Oreochromis niloticus: one gene and its partners. The protein of the gene in region 3 interacts with the protein of the main gene of each other region in a biochemical or structural test. Links are inferred from orthologs where the notes say so. Each region holds a gene or a part of one and is shown on either strand. Other genes may lie near its edges. The genes, in order: ago2, ago1 and tnrc6ba.

Region 1 (3,755 bases), on a different chromosome or scaffold from region 3:
GCAGGCAGCTTAACATGTTTGATTTGGCACTTCTTTTTTTTTTTTAATTATGGGGGGGTTTTTTTATTACTTTACACTGGATACCCTTCCTGACCCATCCCCAAAGGGTTTTTTTCAAATGAGTAAACCACTACACTATGTAGCCACACCAATAATAATATACAAGAAAAACTTATTTAAATCTCACATTTGTAATTATTTTGGTACAATAGTTGAATTATTATTATTATTATCATTATTATTTATATTAACATTAACAACAACAACAACAACACATGTACCAAATCTACACCAAATCACTATATTATAACCTGAAAGATGATTTTAAGTGTTAACATTTTTGCACTTTATTGTAGGAGATGCACACAGCTCTCATTATTGCTGGACAAGCTCAGCCATATCTGCAGCTTCAGATATTTCAGTCAGGACACACTCCATTCCCTTCAGTGCATTATCTTTTAGCTCCAGCGCTGTTCATTCAAACAGAAAACCTTTGATAAAGCCTAGCAATATATGGTGGATTTTAATAAGTGCCCTTTAGTTAAGTGCTTTGCACATAAGTGCACAAAATGAGGTGTACTAGTGCTGACTAGTTGAAGAGCAAAGCATCTTCTGTAGACTCTCACAGGATCAAAATACCTATATGCTTTTTGCTGGATGGTTTCACTATCAGAAGGTCCTGTTGTTTTTCAGATGAGTACATACTGTGATGCTTGAAGGATGTGTGAGAAAAAAAAATGTTGCCACTTACACTGGACCACTACTAGGGTCAATTTAAAGTGTTAAAGCCCGAATATGGGAAAAGCTTACCAGAGCTTACTGACCCAGTAGAACCGGGTCCCTCAAGCATCTCAGCAGCTACAGAGAACAAAAATAACATGTTATAAATGCTCAAAGATCCGCTCAGTCTGATACACACTGTATTTCAAAATAAAGAGTAATAAATGTGTACACCTAATAACATAGTACAGCCCAGAGACCAAAGATTACTGCTTAACATAACAAAACCATTTGTTTATGTAGTAAGCAGTAAGAGAGCGCTGCTCATTTATTACATTAGCTTCATCCCAGCAGGCCTTTCTTATCACTTCCACAGGAGTCTTATCAATAGACACGCAGAAAGTATTGAGCAGCTGGCAATCTAACTGATGAAGCCACCCCTTCCCCCTAGAAATAGACTGCTTCAACACACCGAGTCGTGTTTTGGTTGAACAACACATCCTCGTTAAAATAACTGCAAGTGGGGGAAAAAAAATTGTCCAACATAGTGCTGATGTCGCCTGTACTCTCTTTCATTCAGCCTAAAAAAGCCAGCTGACAAAAAACAGAAACGCACACATGAAATACAACGATATGCAAATCTACACACACACAAACACAGCGTCTGTCTGACTAACGACAGGCGGCTCAGTCGCTTAACTATCTCTACCTAACGTCAAACTTAATCAAGCAGACTTCTCCTGTATCATTTAGTGTCTTAAACCCGGTGTTACACTGAAAAGACGATCCGGTGGCGTTAGCGCGTTTATACCGCTGGTGTATTAATGTGACATATGTAAATGTGGCGATTTCAACTGTCAGGCTAATCGTATCCCAGACTGGTGATGAGATTAGGTCGGCCTCGAAATATTGCTTCAACTAGTGTGTTTAGTGCTTCAGTTCGAGAAAAATGAATGATATGCGTTTACGTTCGTGTGATTTGTTAAGAAAATATATGCCAGCCAACCCCCACTTGGTGAAAGTGCAGTGAGTTAACTAAAACAAGTTCGGGAAACCAGGTGCCGTTGAAGCTAGCGTGGCTAGCGGCAGCTTGTTGTTGCACGCTAGCTAAGCTTGCCTCTAGTACTAATACACTTAAAACTGGGACGACATGTTCCTCGTCAAAGCCGTTGTTGAGTTTTACTGTAACGAGTTGGATGAAACGGGAACAGAGCAAGCACTTCATCGATGCAGCACAGAAAAATGCCGCTTCGTTATCGTCAGTTTTCTTTGGCCGCATCACGTAGCCCATGCTAACGTTAGCCGCAGCACTTACCTCCAGCAGAGGAATACATTTTGTCGACTTTTTTTAAGCGTGTGTCGTGGACGCACAAACACTCCGCTTAGTTTTTCGCAGAATTCCACCAAAACTCATCCGTAGTCGAAGTGTATTTATATGTCCAAGTGCAAGGAAGGAAACTCGGTTCTAAAAAGAGATATTTAGTTAGCCAAGTGGTAAATATTTGAAGTCTCTCATCCTCGGCTCGGCCCCATCCCCCCAACACGCAAAACGGGAGCCGAGAGAAAAGAGAGCGCAGGGTAAAGAACCACGCGCTTCAAGATGATTCTTTCCCATTCCTTCCGCCTTTGGTCACTTTACTTTCGGTAGTGTATATATTTACATTTGGACTTCTTTTTTTAATTACCCTTCTTTTTTACAAGACATATGTATTCATCCCATCAGTGTAGTCATGAATGTAGACAAAAAGCTAGTATCCGTATCAGTCCACGAAATGTGATTCTTTTTTTAAATAAATATAACACATACTATATAACACATACATACACATAATACAACACAATTTAGACAAATCACGTTTCCTATCAGATTTAGTATTTTATTAGCCAAAGTTAGCATTTTACACGGTTGCAAACATTTCAAATACGGTAATTTCGACTTAAGGGGAAATATTAACGTTTAGATTGATGTGAAGTGGGGAACTATCTTGCTTTTCGGTGATGTCAGACGCACGCTGCGCGGTCTCAGTAGTGATGCTAATTCAAATCTTTAAAAAAACACCAGAGATCGCTTACCTGGCTTAAAAAACAACCCGACTTTTTATAACCTGGCTAAAATACAGGTCTGGTTTAAATACGTACATATATATGTATATGGCCACGAATGTGGGTTTTTAAAAATGTCAACAAGCAAAGTAATATACCAAGTAGTTTGTTTCTTCGGCGGAGGAAGCATTTCCGGGGTACCAAAGTTTTTTTTTATAATACCTATAGCTAGTGCATAGTAATGGATCCACAAAAACTTCCAACGTTATAGTTCATTATAATATAACGACAGTACATACAGAAGATTTATCAAGCCATGTGATTTTATATTATACGTTGAATTTTACTTATGCTAAAAATTACTTAAAGTTTAATTAAGGGGAATGAATGAAATAAAATTAGATGTACACGTTCAAGAAGTGAATTATTGTCTATAGTAACAAAAGCTGAAGAAGATACACACAGGTAGGTTGTTTCTATTGAATGTTTTTATTTGTTTATTTATTATTTGCTCATCCAGATTCCAAATTTTCCAGCTATTTGTTCATATTTCAGTGGAAGTTAAACCGATACAAGATCTATAAGCAGATATACGAATACAGAGGCTGATTTTCTGGGTTGTTTACAGAATATTTGAATGGGTGGATAAAGCCAGATGGAACACAGATATAGCCATAATGTACATTGAGCACACGTCTCTTTAACCGTGAGCCTGGTTTCGCGTAGCTGATCCCGTTTAAAGTAGAATTATTTATTGTATGAATTGCAGATTTGAGTTATGAAACATGCAGAATGTTTCCGCATGTGTGCATCCAGTAAGCAGCACCTGCTGAAACGCCCATGTATTATTCCAAAACTTTGAAACAGTTGCAGGCTGTTTTATCAGATTACGCTGTTACCAGTGTCACGTGATTCAAATTCCCCGTTAATTTAATCTAATGCGTATATTTTTAACCCTGGGCGTCTGGGTTGTGTCAAATTTGAGTGAATTT
Region 2 (3,755 bases), on a different chromosome or scaffold from region 3:
ATATATTTCAAATGTCAGCCTGTTGAATTTCAACTACCCTAAGTGATTTTCATACGTAACCAACTATGTGTGGGACATGAGAAAAAACATAATGGCAATAAATTAAATAAATATCCACTGTCCCATTTAATTCTTTAAATATTCTCATAAATATATCAACCCTAAAGAATGTTCCAATTGCAAAAATATTGTAAGAATTCAATAGTTCAATTGGAGCTCATTCATTCATTCCTTTATTTCTAGCACCTAAAGTTTATTGGATATGTGCACATTGGTTCTTTTTTCAGTTTCCTGTACAAAATAATCAATGTAGGACTGAAAGAATAAACACTGCATGGTAATTTATTAAAAAATAAAGTATTCTTTCTTGTGCTTTTACTTCTTTTTTTTTCTTTTTTTACAAAGTCAAGCCATGAAAGCATTAAAGACTTAGATATAAATATTGGATTAAAGACTTATATTAAAATATGATTATTAATGACTCAAAAAGCAAATATGTAACAGCAATAAAATGAGTAATTACAGATCAATAAATTAATCATTAAGCCCTTTACTAAAGAAAACATAAACCAAGACAAATGTATAGTTGGCAATACTGATATGCGGCAATTTCTAAAAGAGGAGGAAAAAAGACATGTGAAAGGCTTGGTGGTCACATATCAAGGATGTAGGTTCACATCAATTAAGGTTAAATGCAATATTTCAAGATTGCAAACTGCACAACTGCAATAGCTTTTAATGTGAACATGACAAAGCCAAATGGTCCGCTTTCTGCTTTGGTTGATGCATGTGATGGAAAGGTTTTGAAATTGAGAACTCTTTGACTGTCGATCATCTGTTTCATAAAAGAATGTTAGAATAAATGTGTTTCATAATGTTCTTTAACTTCTTTACACCAGCAGATACATAGGTTATTATGCTCTAGGTTGTTATTAGAGATAATTGTACTGATCTTCCCCCTTTGAGATTAAACTGATCAAACCCCTGATGTAGCACCTTTAAAATGTACTCAGAATATGTTGGTTGTATTTTTAGAGAGAAGTAAGACGTGTGATCATTAGTTTTAAACCTCAGCTTTGAACACACAGTATCAGACACGTGAGACATAATTTGGCTGTATTTGCATATCTGCAGTGTAGTTCCGCCTTCGACCTCTGGGGTGTGACAGCAAGTTCGTCAACACTTCCTTCACACTTTCCAATGGCAAAGAAGAAGTTTCAGATTTTTTGAGGGGGGCGAGGGGCTGGCCTTTTTTGTTCCGCTGGAGAGTCCTGCTTGAACGGTGAGCAGGAGCACAACAGAACGGCAAGAAATTACAGCGCCGCGGACCATCAGCTAAATCAGAGCACCGGGAAGGATCCCGCTGCGCCGCCGAGGAAGAGTGGTTCGAAATAGGACGGCATCGCCCTGCAGCTGCGCCGTTACTGGCTCTAGGGTCAACGGGCAGACGAGCAACTGGCAGCTATCGCCGTTAGCCTTAACTCCTCTGCGGGTCTGGGGGGTTCTGGTAGGGGCAGGGGCGGGGGTACACCGAGAAAGGAGAAGACTGCACGCCGAGAGGAGGGGGCTGGAAGTCTGAGACGCTTCCAGCCTGAAGGGGCCGGCGGTTTGGCCACAGCACCCCCCGGACTAGCTAGCTTGTACCCGCGCGGCTAAGTGAATGGGATGGAGCCGGGACCGTCTGGCGCTGGTAGGTTTATTTTTACTTAAGTGGTTTTAAATGCAACCAATCCGGGTGTATACTGCGGGCCAAACTGCAGCTGATAAAACTAGACACCGTAGCCTGGCCTTAACATCGGGGGGGGATGTACGAGGATGCTTGGTGTCAAGCCTCTCTGTTGCATCGAACGTTTAGAGAAGAGAGGGTGTGAGATGGAGAGGAGCTATCTTGCTGTCTGCATGCACTGCACTCCATAGAAAGCGTTATTATTTGTCCAGATTTATAGCTGCAGATGAGCCTTTTTGGAGTCTGACAATATCCTCAGCCATGCGCGGGGGCAGGGAGGTCGTGGGAATCTTGGTGAGGAGGGACGAGGTGAAGCCCGCCTTCAAGCAGCAGCAGCAGCAGCTGGCTGCACCCGCACGCCCCACAGAACAGACCAGCCTCCCGTTCACTGACAGGTTACGTTTGCTTAAGGTTGTCAAGAGAGAGTTTAGCACAGTGTCCTTAAATGCACACATTAAAGACAACCTCGGGCCTACCATCTGCAGCAATAACTGAATTATTTATCTATGTGAAATAAGAAGGAGGAAAAAAAGGCTTATCTCGTCTTCCTGTTCGAGATGACATAATCTACATTTAGAACTGAGGGAAGCATGTAGAGCATTATATTTATGTGTTGCGGTTTGATTCTGTATCTGCAGACTTATCAGTGCCAGTCAGATCAGAGATGGGCTTCATTTGGCAGTTTTCTTGTTTGACACGGAGGTGTGGAGACCTGCAATTAAAGCACTCACTGGACTTGACTTTATGCCCAGGTCTAAAGTCTGTTTACGGTGGAACTTCTTGAGTGCCCGGCATTAATAATGCAACCACGAATGTCTTAAATATGTCTAATGCATGGCTTTTATAAAGACTTGTATTTTTAATTGATGCAAAATGTTTTGACATGAACTCCGTTAACAATCCCTGAATCCTCTTTGGATATCTTCAGGCTTGTGTTTATGCAAAGCAGGCCTGATGGTAAAATCACGTCATCATTCCAGATCCTGAACCTTGAAATTAGTTGAATAGGCCTGTTTTAATTTCTTAGGATGGGGGGGGGCTTCAGAGGCCCCTTATTTCAACGTCTCCTTTTGTGTTTCAAGTGTGATGATTCAGTTTTCTATTTTGAAAGATTTTTCTGGTTGCCACATTTGGCTCACGGTCAACAGCCAAATACTTGGAGACACACAACTGATTTGGCCAACACAAGTGATGCCTAAATGGATCTTCCTTGCAATTTGTGTACTTGGCTTATAATTTAGCTTATAAGCCAGTAGCTTATATTTTTGGAGGCTAATCGTTCTCTAGTTTTTAACTTTTTTTGTGTGTATTTGTATAGCATCACCAACTACACATCTTTTCCATTACCAGCAAATTTAATGTGGAGTTGTTTAAAAAGTGCACATTGAGGTCTTTTATTTGTTTTATTTGTTGTCCTGCAAAGGAAGCCAAAACAAAACACACAACAACAACAGACGTGTTATCCCAGGTACGACTTTAAAATAGTCGTTCCCATGTGACTTGATCTTATTGCTTATTACGTCATTGTAAAGGATTTAAGTAGCGAGTGTCTTCATGTTGTGATGCAGCGCCAAAGCTCCGCTTTAAGTCTTACCGCCCGGGAAAGACTGCTATTGTGTTGGGATATGTGAGAGGGCTGGCTCCGCTTCTCACCATCTGCCTTCACTGGCACGAGGGCGAAGTGTGTGTCATTGTGTGTGCATGCGCAACAATCAAAACACGGTATAGACACTCATGCATTCACACACGTACATGCTTTCTTGCACATAAAGTACGTACGGGCACCACATGTCTGGTGTCTGTGTTTACAGTGCTTCTCAGATGTGTTTTAGGGACTTGTGATTCTACACTTTGATATTCATATGAACACACACACACACACACACACACACACACACACACACACACACACACACACACACACACATGGACGGGTGACAGATTAAAGGGAAAACCTGAATACTTGACCCCCTACACTGAGGATATTACGTGGTACAGTTGTGCTGCTGGCATGGTTTGTGTCCCAAAA
Region 3 (3,755 bases):
TGGGGAGGCAGAGGGGGTGGGTCCAGGGCTGGGGAGGCAGAGCTGCTCTGAGTAGCAGAAGACTGGGCAGAAGCTGGCTTGGTCAAGTCTGGCACTGCAAGAAGGGTAGGGAGGGGAGAGAAAGATTTGTTTAAACAGGTGCATTTTAAGAACGCAAAATGTATTTACTTCAAATGTAACCTCTAATCAAGTATTTGGCAGAAATGGATAGCAAACTGGACTATAAAACAAAGAAATCGATGGATGTGCTCTTTTTTAAAAATTAAAAAAAATGCATCAAGTGTTGTCCAACACATTACAAAGAGAAATAATAATGTCACTGTGATACCATCACAATCCTTTTAGACAAGAAAAACATTTAAAACTAAAGTGTCTAAAGATTAGCTCTGGAAAAAGGAGCAAACAACAAATATTTATATCAAACTCCATAAAAATACATCACTGTGCTGCTTACCTTTGTTTTTTTGCTCTGCAACCTAAAATGAAGAGAAGCAGAAAGTCATGTTAAAATTTAGTTTTTTTGTTTTTGGCTTTCTTCCTTTTTCCTTTCTTCCAGGCAAAGAAAGGAAACTGGTGTTTTTTTAATATTATGAAAGTCTTTCACTTTTCACATAATCTGTCAACATTTAGTTGACACAAAATTAATGTAACATCTAGGGACCTAAGGACAAGAGATTTAATTGTAACAAGTTCAACAGCTGCAGTGTTAACTGCAACTATAGCTCCAGGAAGCCCAAATTACCCAAGACCATGAATCAGGTATCTCGTCAAACAAAGTTAGATTGTATATATACTGAAAAAGCTGAAATGGCATAATGTAAGATCATTCCAAACTCAATCCAAACTAAATGCTGTTGTTGAATGTTGTTGAAACCACTGCCTTAATATGACAGTTCAAATGTGTCCACCTGAGATAAGAGAAAGCACTGAAGTCACTTTAATAGAACCATACAGATATCCATGCAGAACTGCCATTTTAAATGATATGAGTGAATGTGCATAAATTTTACTGCCAGCATACTGTGTCAAGATACAAACGTTCATTTTAATTTGAGTATATCTGCCCTAGAGGACATGGAATCTGGTAAGACAAACACACTCACCTTCTGAGAGGCTTCCCTTTTCCTTTTTTCGTCCTTTTTCCTTTTCTTGTCTTCCATGAACTACTGCTCCTGTCCTGATGCTCCTCTCTTCTGTAAAAAAATAGCGGGCTATTCAAAATTGTAATTACCTATCAACTATTTTAGAACAAGCAACAGTTTGTTTCTATATATTCTAGCTTTTTCCTGTAAACCAAATTTATTCCTCAAGGGAAAAAAGGAAAACATTTAATTCTGATTGCATATCAGACACAATCTCTGTCACTACACTTCCACTGGACAACTGGATAAACTGACCTTTAGGTTCTGTAGGTCCAATCAGTTTAGCTTGATTGACTGGACCTACATATCCAGAAACCCATACCAGATAAACTGAAAGTCTGAAATCTAGATTTGTTTTTCAGACAGAGTGCTGGCAGTTACAAATCCAGGATCATACTCTTTACTGGCTTTAAGTAAAAAATAAATAACTAAAAAATAAAATAAAATGAATTAAGAGATTTCAGCTACAGCAAAGAATGCATTGTCATTAGGATTCCCCATAGCACCTCTATGATCCCTAGGATGTCGGGGACAAACTAAACATTTTATTATTAGATTTTTCAGTTTGAAGATGGAACAGCTGAGCTATTCTACAATTTTTTAACGAAACGAACGGTTTATACTGTTTATTTAATAGGGTGATAGAAATGTCATTCATTTCTATTAGAGCGGAACCAGGGAAGCGCCCGCGAATGCGCAAAATGTAAATCATGTATGTATTACAATATGGCAATAACCGCAATATTAGCATGTCTGGCTTCATGTTAGCACATTAAAACACAAGTCGTCAGTTTTCTCCTTTTCTCCTCGTTTAAAGCAAAACCCAAGCAATCTGGTATGCTTCGGCTGCCTCGGTCTTGTGTTGGTTTCGTTTTTGCTTCGTGTCGTTAACACTTCCATAAAGCAGGATTACTACATTTGGGAAAAGCGACCTGACATTGTCCCTGAGGCATTTATGATCTCAGGCCTGAAGTATCAGAAAGCCAGACATCATCACGATGTTATTTCGATGTGTCAGATCTGCAGTATAGTAAACCCTATCCAGCAGCTCTACCAGCTTATGCTGACATACCTGTCAACGTTATTCCAAGCTCACCAGCATTAGGCAGCAAACGCCACAGCACAAAAAGGTCTGAGCTTTGAGCTTAAATGGAAAGGCGTGTTCAAAAACTGAAGACACGGGTGAATAAATCCGCTTTAGCTGAAATAGTCAGACACATTCATCCTTGCCCCTTCAGGTTTACACAAGCTGCAAGTTCAACAGCTGCTGCTAATAAAATATTTCGTCGAGGCTAACGTTAAGGAGGGGTTCAGCCTAAAATACGTGGACACGAAGCATAGCAGGCATTAACGAGTTCAAACCAACCTAAGTTCAGTAACTGCTCTATCAAGTGAACACAGCGGTCTTGCACAGCAAACACATAAGAGGGCCAAATACCCAGCTCAGCTAACGCAGTGCCAAAAATACGGCTAAAACGGCGCTAATGCTACCGAACATTAGCCAGATAAGCTAAGGTAGCATTACCCAGTGACAGCAGCAACTACAAGTAGCCAGGTTAATGGCGCTAGCTTGGTTTGCAAGCGCCGTGGCATGGCATTTCAGTAAGATGCAGCCCGCTCGCATGCATTCAAACAACGACACAGTGCAAAGCCGAGAAATGTAAAAAATTCACCCACTTACCTCGGGAATCACATATGAAGATACGCTAGCGTGCTAGCTAGCTTAGCTAAAGTGCTTCAGTGCGAATTTTTTTCTAGCTTTTTGAGGCATTCGTCGAGGCTACAAGAACAGCGACGCCTGAGCGGAGAATCAAGTAAAATGGCAGAAAATGAAAATATACGCGTAATAACGTACTGGTTCGTGAGCACTACCGTTATAATAGTGTAAACCCTAATGTGCAGAAGAATTTAAATTCAAAGCGCTGTGGAGTCAGTCGGGTGACGGGCGGCCATTTTGCTGCTCAGCATGAAGCGTCTCCAATGACCAGCCTGTAGCAGCTGCGTGGAAGCCCTCTGACTGGCTGGCTTCTGCCTGAAGAGATGCATAAAACACGCTATTTGACCTCCATAAACTTCTGACAGTCAAACTTAACATTCAACTTATTGCTTATTTCGTAAGGGCTGCTTTCAACTTTCTCTTCGTAGCATGAGTCAGAGAAAAAGGGGAACGAGGAAAAGGAAAAACGAGGATGCCTCCGCAGGAGAAAAGGAGGGCGAGGACACTGAGGAAAGAGGAGACAGGAGGAAGAACCGCGCAACAAAGAAGTACATTGGAGCTCATGTTGGCATTCAAGGTAGGGCCTAATGTCGTCTTCTTTGACACCATTTGAGATAAGCACGCTTACTCACACTTCTGTGACGTCACGTCCATAGGTGGGATATGGAAAGCCGTGGAGTCCTGTATGGAGATGGGTGGCAGCAGTTTCGCCCTGTTCCTGGGGTCCCAGCGATCGTGGAAGAGGCCTGCATTGGACCATACAGCTGCAGCAAAGTTTCAGGAGCTGTGTTCCCAACAGGGGTTTGACCCAGCTCATATCTTGCCTCATGGCTCCTACCTGATGAACTGTGGATCTCCTAAAGAGGGTCCGTCAGACACTGATTATTGTCTTTCAT

Evidence for each region.
Region 1: the proteins of tnrc6ba (region 3) and ago2 form a complex in vitro, tested with the Homo sapiens proteins (3 studies listed by BioGRID and IntAct, with this or other methods). The link is inferred for Oreochromis niloticus from reciprocal best matches to the Homo sapiens genes TNRC6B and AGO2.
Region 2: the proteins of tnrc6ba (region 3) and ago1 form a complex in vitro, tested with the Homo sapiens proteins (2 studies listed by BioGRID and IntAct). The link is inferred for Oreochromis niloticus from reciprocal best matches to the Homo sapiens genes TNRC6B and AGO1.

Annotation. Positions count from the first base shown.
Region 1 is NC_031985.2:24,714,636-24,718,390, reverse strand, and holds the start of ago2 (protein argonaute-2), read right to left. Parts: upstream 2,966-3,755; 5' UTR 2,055-2,965; coding exon 2,036-2,054; intron 859-2,035; coding exon 811-858; intron 1-810.
Region 2 is NC_031976.2:28,011,712-28,015,466, forward strand, and holds the start of ago1 (protein argonaute-1), read left to right. Parts: upstream 1-1,175; 5' UTR 1,176-1,665; coding exon 1,666-1,690; intron 1,691-3,755.
Region 3 is NC_031973.2:22,681,898-22,685,652, reverse strand, and holds the start of tnrc6ba (trinucleotide repeat-containing gene 6B protein), read right to left. Parts: upstream 2,962-3,755; 5' UTR 2,824-2,961; intron 2,283-2,823; exon of another isoform or gene 2,215-2,282; intron 1,194-2,214; 5' UTR 1,104-1,193; intron 477-1,103; 5' UTR 455-476; intron 95-454; 5' UTR 1-94. Other genes in the region: uncharacterized protein si:ch211-141o9.10, read left to right, coding at 3,289-3,436, 3,516-3,725.